Linked DNA regions of Ovis aries. The protein of the gene in region 1 purifies or fractionates together with the protein of each later gene. This does not show direct contact. Links are inferred from orthologs where the notes say so. Each region holds a gene or a part of one and is shown on either strand. Other genes may lie near its edges.

The links.
Region 2: the proteins of CUL5 (region 1) and RAB40B purify together in Homo sapiens (affinity purification with mass spectrometry; 5 studies listed by BioGRID and IntAct, counting the BioPlex papers as one, with this or other methods). This does not show direct contact. The link is inferred for Ovis aries from reciprocal best matches to the Homo sapiens genes CUL5 and RAB40B.

Annotation. Positions count from the first base shown.
Region 1 is NC_056068.1:17,271,798-17,276,737, reverse strand, and holds the start of CUL5 (cullin-5), read right to left. Parts: upstream 3,036-4,940; 5' UTR 2,607-3,035; coding exon 2,583-2,606; intron 1-2,582. UniProt on the Homo sapiens protein: Core component of multiple cullin-5-RING E3 ubiquitin-protein ligase complexes (ECS complexes, also named CRL5 complexes), which mediate the ubiquitination and subsequent proteasomal degradation of target proteins.
Region 2 is NC_056064.1:49,672,758-49,676,986, reverse strand, and holds the end of RAB40B (ras-related protein Rab-40B), read right to left. Parts: intron 4,109-4,229; coding exon 4,048-4,108; intron 3,434-4,047; coding exon 3,356-3,433; intron 2,682-3,355; coding exon 2,459-2,681; intron 1,560-2,458; coding exon 1,288-1,559; 3' UTR 530-1,287; downstream 1-529. UniProt on the Homo sapiens protein: RAB40B small GTPase acts as substrate-recognition components of the ECS(RAB40B) E3 ubiquitin ligase complex which mediates the ubiquitination of target proteins.

The DNA.
Region 1 (4,940 bases):
ATACAATCTTTCCAATGTTCTTTTCCACTGTGGTTTATCACAGTATATTAAATATAGTTCCTTGTGCTATATAGTAAGTAGCACCTTGTTGTTTATCCGTTCTATTTTCTATATGTACAGTAGTTTGCATCTGCTAATCCCAAACTCCCAGTCCATCCCTTCCCCTCAACCTCCTCCAGACTTTAATTCAAATGACCCTATGAATTCTGGTAAGGGTCTCCCTGCCATTTCTCCAAGACAAACTTCCTACTTTTTCATTAAATATTTCTAAAGGCATAAATACAAGACAACCCCCGCCATCCCCCCCATCCACACACTTCAATGAGGAGAGAAAAAAAGGAAAAAAAACTTTTCTGACCAATGTAAATAAGGAAACTTTTGGTGATACAGATAAAAGAATCAAATGTCTACTTATAATATCCACTGTTAGTTGTATGTATTTAAAAATCACATACTACATAAAATATTGAGAAATTCTTTTACCCCCTTTTCAACATCTCATTAAATAATTTTATTGAAAATTTTCCAGTGTATCTGTCATCTTTTTGTATTCCCTAGAGACTGTGACTTTTACCAGTTTTGTCAGAACATTATCACTTTCCTTTTATTTATAAAAGTTGAGTTACAGAACTGCTCGAATTATGATCTTTTTAACCTAAGTCTTAAGCACCTATTTCTATACATTCAGGTGTTTTCAGTTTATAGGTGGGTGTGTGCTATACATACAGATTCATAATCTCTACAAGGTAACGACTTAAGAGTATTGAACGAAGGAGCTTCAGACTTTTATCTCCTCCAAACAATGCTTTGTAAGGCTTTGTATGGAGTAGAATAAAGTGACTCACTCTTTCCTGAGACACAAATCTGGGAGGAAAAAAAGACTTTGCTTTACATCCACATTATCAGTAAGTCAAAAATTCACAATTACTTCTTCAACACATTTCAATTAATAACATACACTATTGGTTATGTAAATACATGGATACATTAACAGGAGTCTTTGCAAGTTAGTTTTCTTTCTGAATTAATATATTAGAACTTTGCTATACTGCTATAAAAGAAGTGAGTTACTCAACTCCCATGAACTTGTCTTCTTAGAGAAACAGCAGTAGTAACTGTAGCAATTTATGTGTATTGCATGCCAGTTAAGATCCAGTCGCTGTTTTAAGATTATACATATACTAACTCAATCTTCACAAAGTTCCTATGAAGTAAGTGCTATTGATAATTTCACTATATTGATGAGGAAACTCAGGAACGGAGAGAAACTTGCCCAAAGTCATGGAGCAGAAATTCTAAGTAGCAGAAATTAGGTCTAGTTCTAGGTCCCTCCCTCTTTTAAAAGAAGACACGGGGTTGGGTAGGAGGGGAGGGGCGGGGCGGGGAGGGGCGGGGGCGGTGTATATATGTTTGTTAGTTGCTCAGTAGTGTCACTCTTTGTGACCCTCTGAACTGTAGCCGACCAGGCTCCTCTATCCATGGAATTCTCCAGGCAAGAACACTGGAGTGGGTTGCCATTCCCTTCTCCAAAAGAAGACACACTGCCTCTAAAATTAGTAAAATTAGAGGGACTAATACAGTTAGTATCAGTAGTCTAAAGAAGACAAGAGTGAGGTTACAGTAAGTTTTAATATATTTTCTATTCTCTATCAACACTGTCTGAAGGCCTAATTGACAGGGTTTTTGAGGGAGAAGTAGTTCATCCACTACCCCCATTTCAGTAGTACTTTTAAGGTATAAAGTATTGCCTACTACAAACATACCACAGACGAAACTAGTGTCAGGTCTTCCTCCTTCTCCTCTCAACTTTGTAACTGATGGTAAAGAATCCGCTTCTCTAGGCCTAGATCCCCCTTGCTATCCCAAATACATAAAACTAACTTTAACGGTTGTCTTTGATAAGGCAACTTTCCTAAGCCCTAAGACAACGGCAGTGCTTCCACTGTAGTCATCTGGTTGCGTGCTGTAATGGGGTTGAGGAACAGTTTCCTAAGTTAAAAAGGGTAAACATACGAACTCAAGAAAGGAAGAACAGAAGAGAAGGTGTAGCCCGCAGTTAAGGGAGGGAGTTGGGGCTTCAGGCGCTGCCGTCTGACTTGGAATTCCGCGCAGACAGAATGAGAAGAGAAACTGAGGAGGTGGGGATCCAAGTCATTAAAACCTGTTAGCAACATTTTCTGGGATTTTCTTTTCTTTTTTTTTTTTTTAATGCGTCTCAAGACTCCCGCTTCAGAAGAAACTGAGACCCTAAGGACACTAACTGACCGATCCGTCAGGACGCTGCACCACCTTTCTTCCGGGGTCCCGAGCCAGCGCTGGCCCCTTGAGACCACTGCCCGCCGTCGGCCCTCGGCCGGGCCTTTCATACACCAGGCAACCGGCACCAGGGACAACCAGGGCCTCTCGACCCCAAGGCCGGAGAATCGCGTTCCACTCCTCGGCGGCTGCCTCCCTGGCTTCCCTTCCGGTAGACAACCCCTGAACACTCCCCCATTTCGCCGCTGAACCAGAACCGAGCCATTCCCCGAGAGCTGAACCCACCGCTCCCGGAGTAGAAATCCAAGACGGACTGAGGGTCTTACCTTTAACAGATTAGACGTCGCCATATTCCTTCAACTTAGACTCTCGCGAGACCGCGCGAGATTTCGTGGAGCTCCGTGCCAGGCCACTACTGCAGGCCCGAGTGTCCCACCTGGGCCGAGGGGCCCCCCGGCCCGCACTGTGGATGTGGTGGGCGCCGGCGTGCACACAGCGCTGACCTCGTCCCTCACTCCCGGAGCTTCCTCGCTCTTCCCTCCCTACATGGTCACCGGGGCCTCCCCGTACGAGAGAGCTCATGCAAACACTCGGGGAGACGGCAGCGGCGAAAGGTGAGAGGGAACAGGAGCCGACCTGAAATCGGAAGAGGAAGCATCGGCTCCACGAGCCTCCCCACTCCTTCAGATGAGCCTCTGTGGTGGCACCCGCAGAGGCCACTGGCAACGAATTTAGCTCGGTTTGGGACCGGCCGCTCTGGTTCGGCGGCCGCGTCACGTGACGCGGCAGGCGGGGCCGCGCTCGGGAGCGAGCGTGGGAGCCTGAAAGCGTCGTGGGCCCAGAACACGCCGCGAGGGCGAGGGGACGCCCTCTGCTGGCAGGAGTATGTGTCTTCCACCGCCGCGTGCTGTGGGGAGGTTACGAAAAAGACGTTATCCTGAGTGAAATGCTTGTAATAGCTGTTTTCAAGAACTGGCGCATAGAAGGGCCCCAAGAAATATTTGTTTGCATGAATCAATGAATCCATGCACGAACGTGTTAACTATTAATATTTCTACTCAAGAGGGCCTGGCACTGAAATAACCTCTAAGAGGTTGATCAGGTATACCAGCACATCCTATACCCTAAGACCCCTACGCTTTATCACTTCAGACCTCAAACCACTGGCCAAATAAAGGGAATATAATTTATATGTAGAATCTACAATATACCTGTGTGTGCTTTTGAACTGTGGCATTGGAGAAGACTCTTGAGAGTCCCTTGGACTGCAAGGAGATCCAACCAGTCCATTCTAAAGGAGATCAGCCCTGGGTGTTCTTTGGAAGGAATGATGCTAAAGCTGAAACCCCAGTACTTTGGCCACCTCATGTGAAGAGTTGACTCACTGTAAAAGACTCTGATGCTGGGAGGGATTGGGGGCAGGAGGAAAAGGGGATGACAGAGGATGAGATGGCTGGATGGCCTCACCGACTGGATGGACGTGATTTTGAGTGAACTCCAGGAGTTGGTGATGGACAGGGAGGCCTGGCGTGCTGCAATTCACAGGGTCGCAAAGAGTCGGACACAACTGAGCGACTGAACTGAATTGAACAATATACCCAGTATTGTATTCTACACATTTCCGAACTGTTCATTCATACATAAAATGTGAGAAATAAGTTAGAGCTATAGAGTCCCTTGGACTGCAAGATCCAACCAGTCCATTCTGAAGGAGATCAACCCTGGGATTTCTTTGGAAGGAATGATGCTAAAGCTGAAACTCCAGTACTTTGGCCACCTCATGAGAAGAGTTGACTCATTGGAAAAGACTCTGATGCTGGGAGGGATTGGGGGCAGGAGGAGAAGGGGACGACAGAGGATGAGATGGCTGGATGGCATCACGGACTCGATGGGCGTGAGTCTGAGTGAACTCCAGGAGATGGTGATGAACAGGGAGGCCTGGCGTGCTGTGATTCATGGGGTCGCAAAGAGTCAGACACGACTGAGCGACTGAACTGAACTGAATAGAGTAAAATAAAGCAGAGAAGAGGAATGCAGTTTTAAACAGAGGGATCCAAGTAGATCTCACTGAGAAGATGGCATTTGAGCAAAAAGACTTGAAAGCGGTGAAGGAGAATGCCAGGACATATTTGGGAGGACAGCAATGGGGGGAGCACAGGTGGCAAGTTGCCCAGAGTTTCAGAGGAACAGTTAGTTAGAAGGTTAGTGTGTTTAGAGAGAGAGTAAGAAGAGCAGAAGGCCTTTTCGGGCCTTGTAGACCACAGCAAAGACTGGCTCTTATTCTCAGTGAGATGGGCAATCATTGCAGGTTTCTGAACAGAGGAGTGGTATGATCAGACTCCCATTTCAACGTGATTGGTCTGACTACTCTGTGGTGAATCCAATGAGAAGGGGATTTAGAAAGCTTTTGTATTTCATTAGATCGACACAATCATGCCACCTAGGTGGCCTACATTTTACAGTGATTTATTAGAGAGTAATCTAGGCATGATTAAACAATGACTACATGGTAGAACAAGGATTCAGAGCCACTAGGCAATGGCACCCCACTCCAGCACTCTTGCCTGGAAAATCCCATGGACGGAAGAGCCTGGTGGGCTGCAGTCCATGGGGTCGCTAAGAGTCGGACACGACTGAGTGCCTTCACTTTCACTTTTCACTTTCATGCACTGGAGAAGGAAATG
Region 2 (4,229 bases), on another chromosome or scaffold:
CTAGGGGTGTGGGTTCAATCCTTGGTTGGGGAACAAAGATCCCACATGCCAGGTGGCACAGCCCCAAAAGCAAACAAAAACTATAAATTACTAACAGAAAGCAAGGACAACTGGGTGTTTCCTCTTCTCTGAGAGTTATTTTTTTAATCCATTGTTACATCTTCCATCTGCCACAGAGAGTCAAGCCGTAGAACCAGGAAGGAGGCCCTGCCAGGAGTGTTGGCAGAGTCAGCTCCAATCTTGACGTCACTCATGCTGGGCAGTGATGCCCCACGCACTGGGGCCAGAGCACCTCCCACTCTTCCTGTACAGACACAGGCTGGACAGCTGCCCCTTGAGGCCCCACTGTCTGCCTCCGCGTTCTTTTCAGGAAAAGACATCTTTTCACTCGGTGGTTCAGGTCAGGGACACAGCCCTGTTGCCAATGCCAGGTACTAGCACTGACTGTGGTAACTGAAATAGGCAATAAAGCAAATGGGATCAAGGGTGATGGAAGTACACAAAACCAGGAAGAAGCAGCCAACGAGTCTACCAAGAAACGAGTATGCTTTTTATTGTCAGGAAACATCCATTCTTAAACAACAGAGTTTGCTTCACTCTTAGCTGAAAATGGCTCTGAGTGACATTCTCTTGCCAGTCTGGACGTGGTGTAACCATGCTGCAGTGTGTTTGCTGTAACTAGAAATATCTTTGGCATTTTCTTCCCTTTAGCGTCATAACTTGTAAAACATTTGTACAAAAAAATGTAGATTTACAGAAAATATGCATATAAATCACTTATCCTAAAACGTAGTAAATAACGTAGCAAAAACTTGATCAAATCCGTTTCATACACAAGCTGGACAAATTGGCTGTGCGTAATCTCTAACTTATCTATGGCGTTTTATAAATTAGTGCTTCCACATTAAAAAGGAGGTTTATAAAAAGACCCCTCATAGCATCAAAAACTCTTAATTTCTCTCTCCATTTCCACTTTTTGTAGTCCCTAGAATTTATACTCATCACAAACATATCACCATTCTTATAAAAAGTAGTTATTTCAAGAAAAAAGTTGCACTGCAATCATGATAGGTTACATTCAAAATTCCATGTTATCAAGAGTTCTTCCCTTTATAAACACATGTCTGAAATAAGAGCCCCATGCCCATCCATGCAGAAGTATCTGGTAAGCAGGGTACCAGCCTCGGTTTCATTGCTCGGGGCCACGTGGTCACAACACTGGCAGGCGTCTAGGTCCAGAGCGGCCTCCCCCTCCCATCTGTGCCCCTCCTCTGCCTTGCACCCTCCTCAAGAGACTTTGCAGTTGTTCCTGGAGCAGCGTCTGGGGGGGCTCTGGGGGAGGTGGGTGCCCTTGGCTTTTCGGAGGCTGGTCCTCTTGTGGCCGGAGCTGGTGGCGAGGGAGCAGGGCCGGCCGTGCACCATCCTGGCGCTCAGGCCGGTGGCCATCGAGAAGGACTTGAGGTGGCTCCTGAGGGCCGTGGGCAGCGGCAGCTTGTCCAGCAGGTGTGCAGGCGTGCAAGACACCACTGCCCGGCAGCACAGGTCCTGCAAGCTCAGGACTTGGGAAAGAAAAGGAAACCCGGTTCACTTGCAGTGTCCTGGGCGTGGGGCCAGCCCCGGGGCAGCAGGATGCCTGTCCACCCTCCTCTCTGGGACTCTGGGGCAAGACGTCAAGGCCCAGTCTCCCACCCTGTGCCTACAGGGGGCAATTAGAAATAGGTGGTCCTGCTTTTGTCTCCTTAAACCCAGTTTGCCTCCAAACTTGAGACCACAACCGTCCCTCCCACTGGGTCTGAGAGACGAGTCCTGGCCTGCAATGGCCAATCACGTCTCCTCAGGATTCATGCAACCAGCTTTTGGGGCTTGAGGCCAAGCGCTTCAGGAAATGTGCTTCCCAACAGAGTAGCTGACCCAGAATAATGTGTTATCAGCTTTATAAAGACATACTGGAGAACACACCAGAAAAGCAAATGCTGTCACTTATATTTCAGCTACATTGTTCGTTTTATGAGTCAGAGCCCCTGCTCAAACAGAGCGGGACTCCCCAGGGGCCTGCTGGGAGCAGAGACTGCGTCTCACCCTTGGTGCAGTCAGGGCACTCCTCAACCCCTGGAGCATCAGACAGAAGAAACACAACCCAAGGCTTTGCTTCCTTTTAGAATCAAGGTCCTAACAACTTTCAGAACAGTGCTTCTCAACTGGGGGCGATTTTGACTCCCTAGGACATTTGGCAAAATCTGGAGACATTTGTGGTTTTCACAAATGGGGGCAGGGAGACCAAGGGTGCAGCTCACCCACAGCATAGGGGATGCCCCCACTAGAGGACACACCATCCCAGCTGGCTGTAGTGCCAAGGGGCAGAAGCTCTGATTTATGAGAATGGAGACAGCGACCTGGGGGCAGGTCCTGGGAGGCTGACCGCTGGAGGGGCTGCCGGGCAGCCCGGAGGAGCACCTACCCTTGCTCGGCCTCCAGAGCCGGTCCATCCCGTGCCGCAGCAGCACGATCCTGGCCAGCTCCATAAAGGACTCAGTGATGTTGAAATTGCACAGTGGGCTGACCTCGAAGAACGTCACACCCAGGCGCTCTGCGTAGGCCTGGGCCTGCTCTGTGGGGACCTGCCGCTTGAAGGCCAGGTGCAGGCGGTTCCCCACCAGGATCTTAGGGACCCCTGGGGCATGCTAAAGGGTGACAAAGAGGCAAGGAAAGTGGGTCAGGCACAAGCTTTGTTGTTGTAATGACAGGTGCCCTGGGATGATATACATGTAGAACTTCAGAATATGTCCTTTTTTGAAAATAGGGGCTTTGCAGATGGAATTAGTTAAGATCTTAGGGTGGACCTGACATCCCGTCACTGTGACCTTATAAGAAGGGGAGAGGACACAGGACGCTCAGGGAAGAAGGCACATGACGGCAGAGCAGAGATGGAGTGAGGCATCCAGAGATCAAAGGCCAGGGACTGTCAGCAACACCAGAAGCTGGAGGAGGCAGGAAGGACCCTCCTCTCAGACAGAGGGAGCCAACACCTTGATTTTGGACTCTGACCCCAGAACGCAGAGAATGAGTTTCCTTTGTGTTCAGCCACACAGTCTGTGGTGAGCTGTTACGGCCACCCCAGGACACTTACAACAGTGGATGGGACTGACCACTAGACGTCTCCATTGGCAGCTGGGCCGGTCAGGGTGCCCGCAGATAGCAGCCTAGTTAGCGCTGGTCAACCCACCTGACTGTGTGCAGGGCCTCGTCCTGTGCTAAGAGGTGACATGTCCTCCCCGCTGTGGCTGGAGCCTTGTGCCCTGGCTCCCCTGCCCACCCCTCCATGGGCCCACAGGGAGGGAGCCCTGCCCCGTTGTACCTCATTGATCTCCTTAATCCACCGGTCGATGCCATCAAAGGACCAGCGGTTCGCGATGTCGTATACCAGGATCACACCCTGGGGAGACAACAGTCACTTGTGGAGAGACTGGCCAGCACGCAGGCCACTCAGGCACACACTCACAACGAGCTAAACAGTCATTCTACTTATTTTAATGCAAAACACATTTTTTAAAATTTATGTGCCAAATGTAGCAGCTATATGATCATTTCCAATGATAATTTCATAAGCTCATGGAGAAACCCTCAAATGCGAAGGTAAGTTGGGTAGTAGAACTCAGTTCCCCACATTCATGAGCTGGTCTAGGGACATGGAATGTGGGGGGACTGCAGAGCCCGCCCACCTGGACAGAGAGTTCCCACACACGTGCAGACACACACATGTGAGTGTGGTGCACACACAACCCACATGCCTGCATATTTATCTGTGTACATGCATAAATGCACGTGAATGTACACCACTCATGCACACGCGTGTACAAATACAACACATGCAACCACACCCCCCTGATGCTGAAGGCTTGGGAGTCACCAAACAGTCCACAGCACAACTTTAGACTCCGGCATCAGCTTATATGTGAGCTAATTGCTTTGTCCTCCAAGTATCCATTAACGAGCATTCCGAAAGTCATTATTAAAGTCAGTTTGACCTCCCAGTTCAGGGGATGTTACCTGTGCGCCCCGAGAGTAAGAGCGGAATATGGTACAAAATCTTCCCTGACCCGATGTGTCCCTGGAAAAGATGTTGGAGGCCTGTAAGAAGAAATCACTACTTCCTGACAATAAAGTTTTTGAACTTGGGAGCCAGAGCAAGTATATTTTATAATTGTCAGTCAGTGGCCATCCCAAAGGAA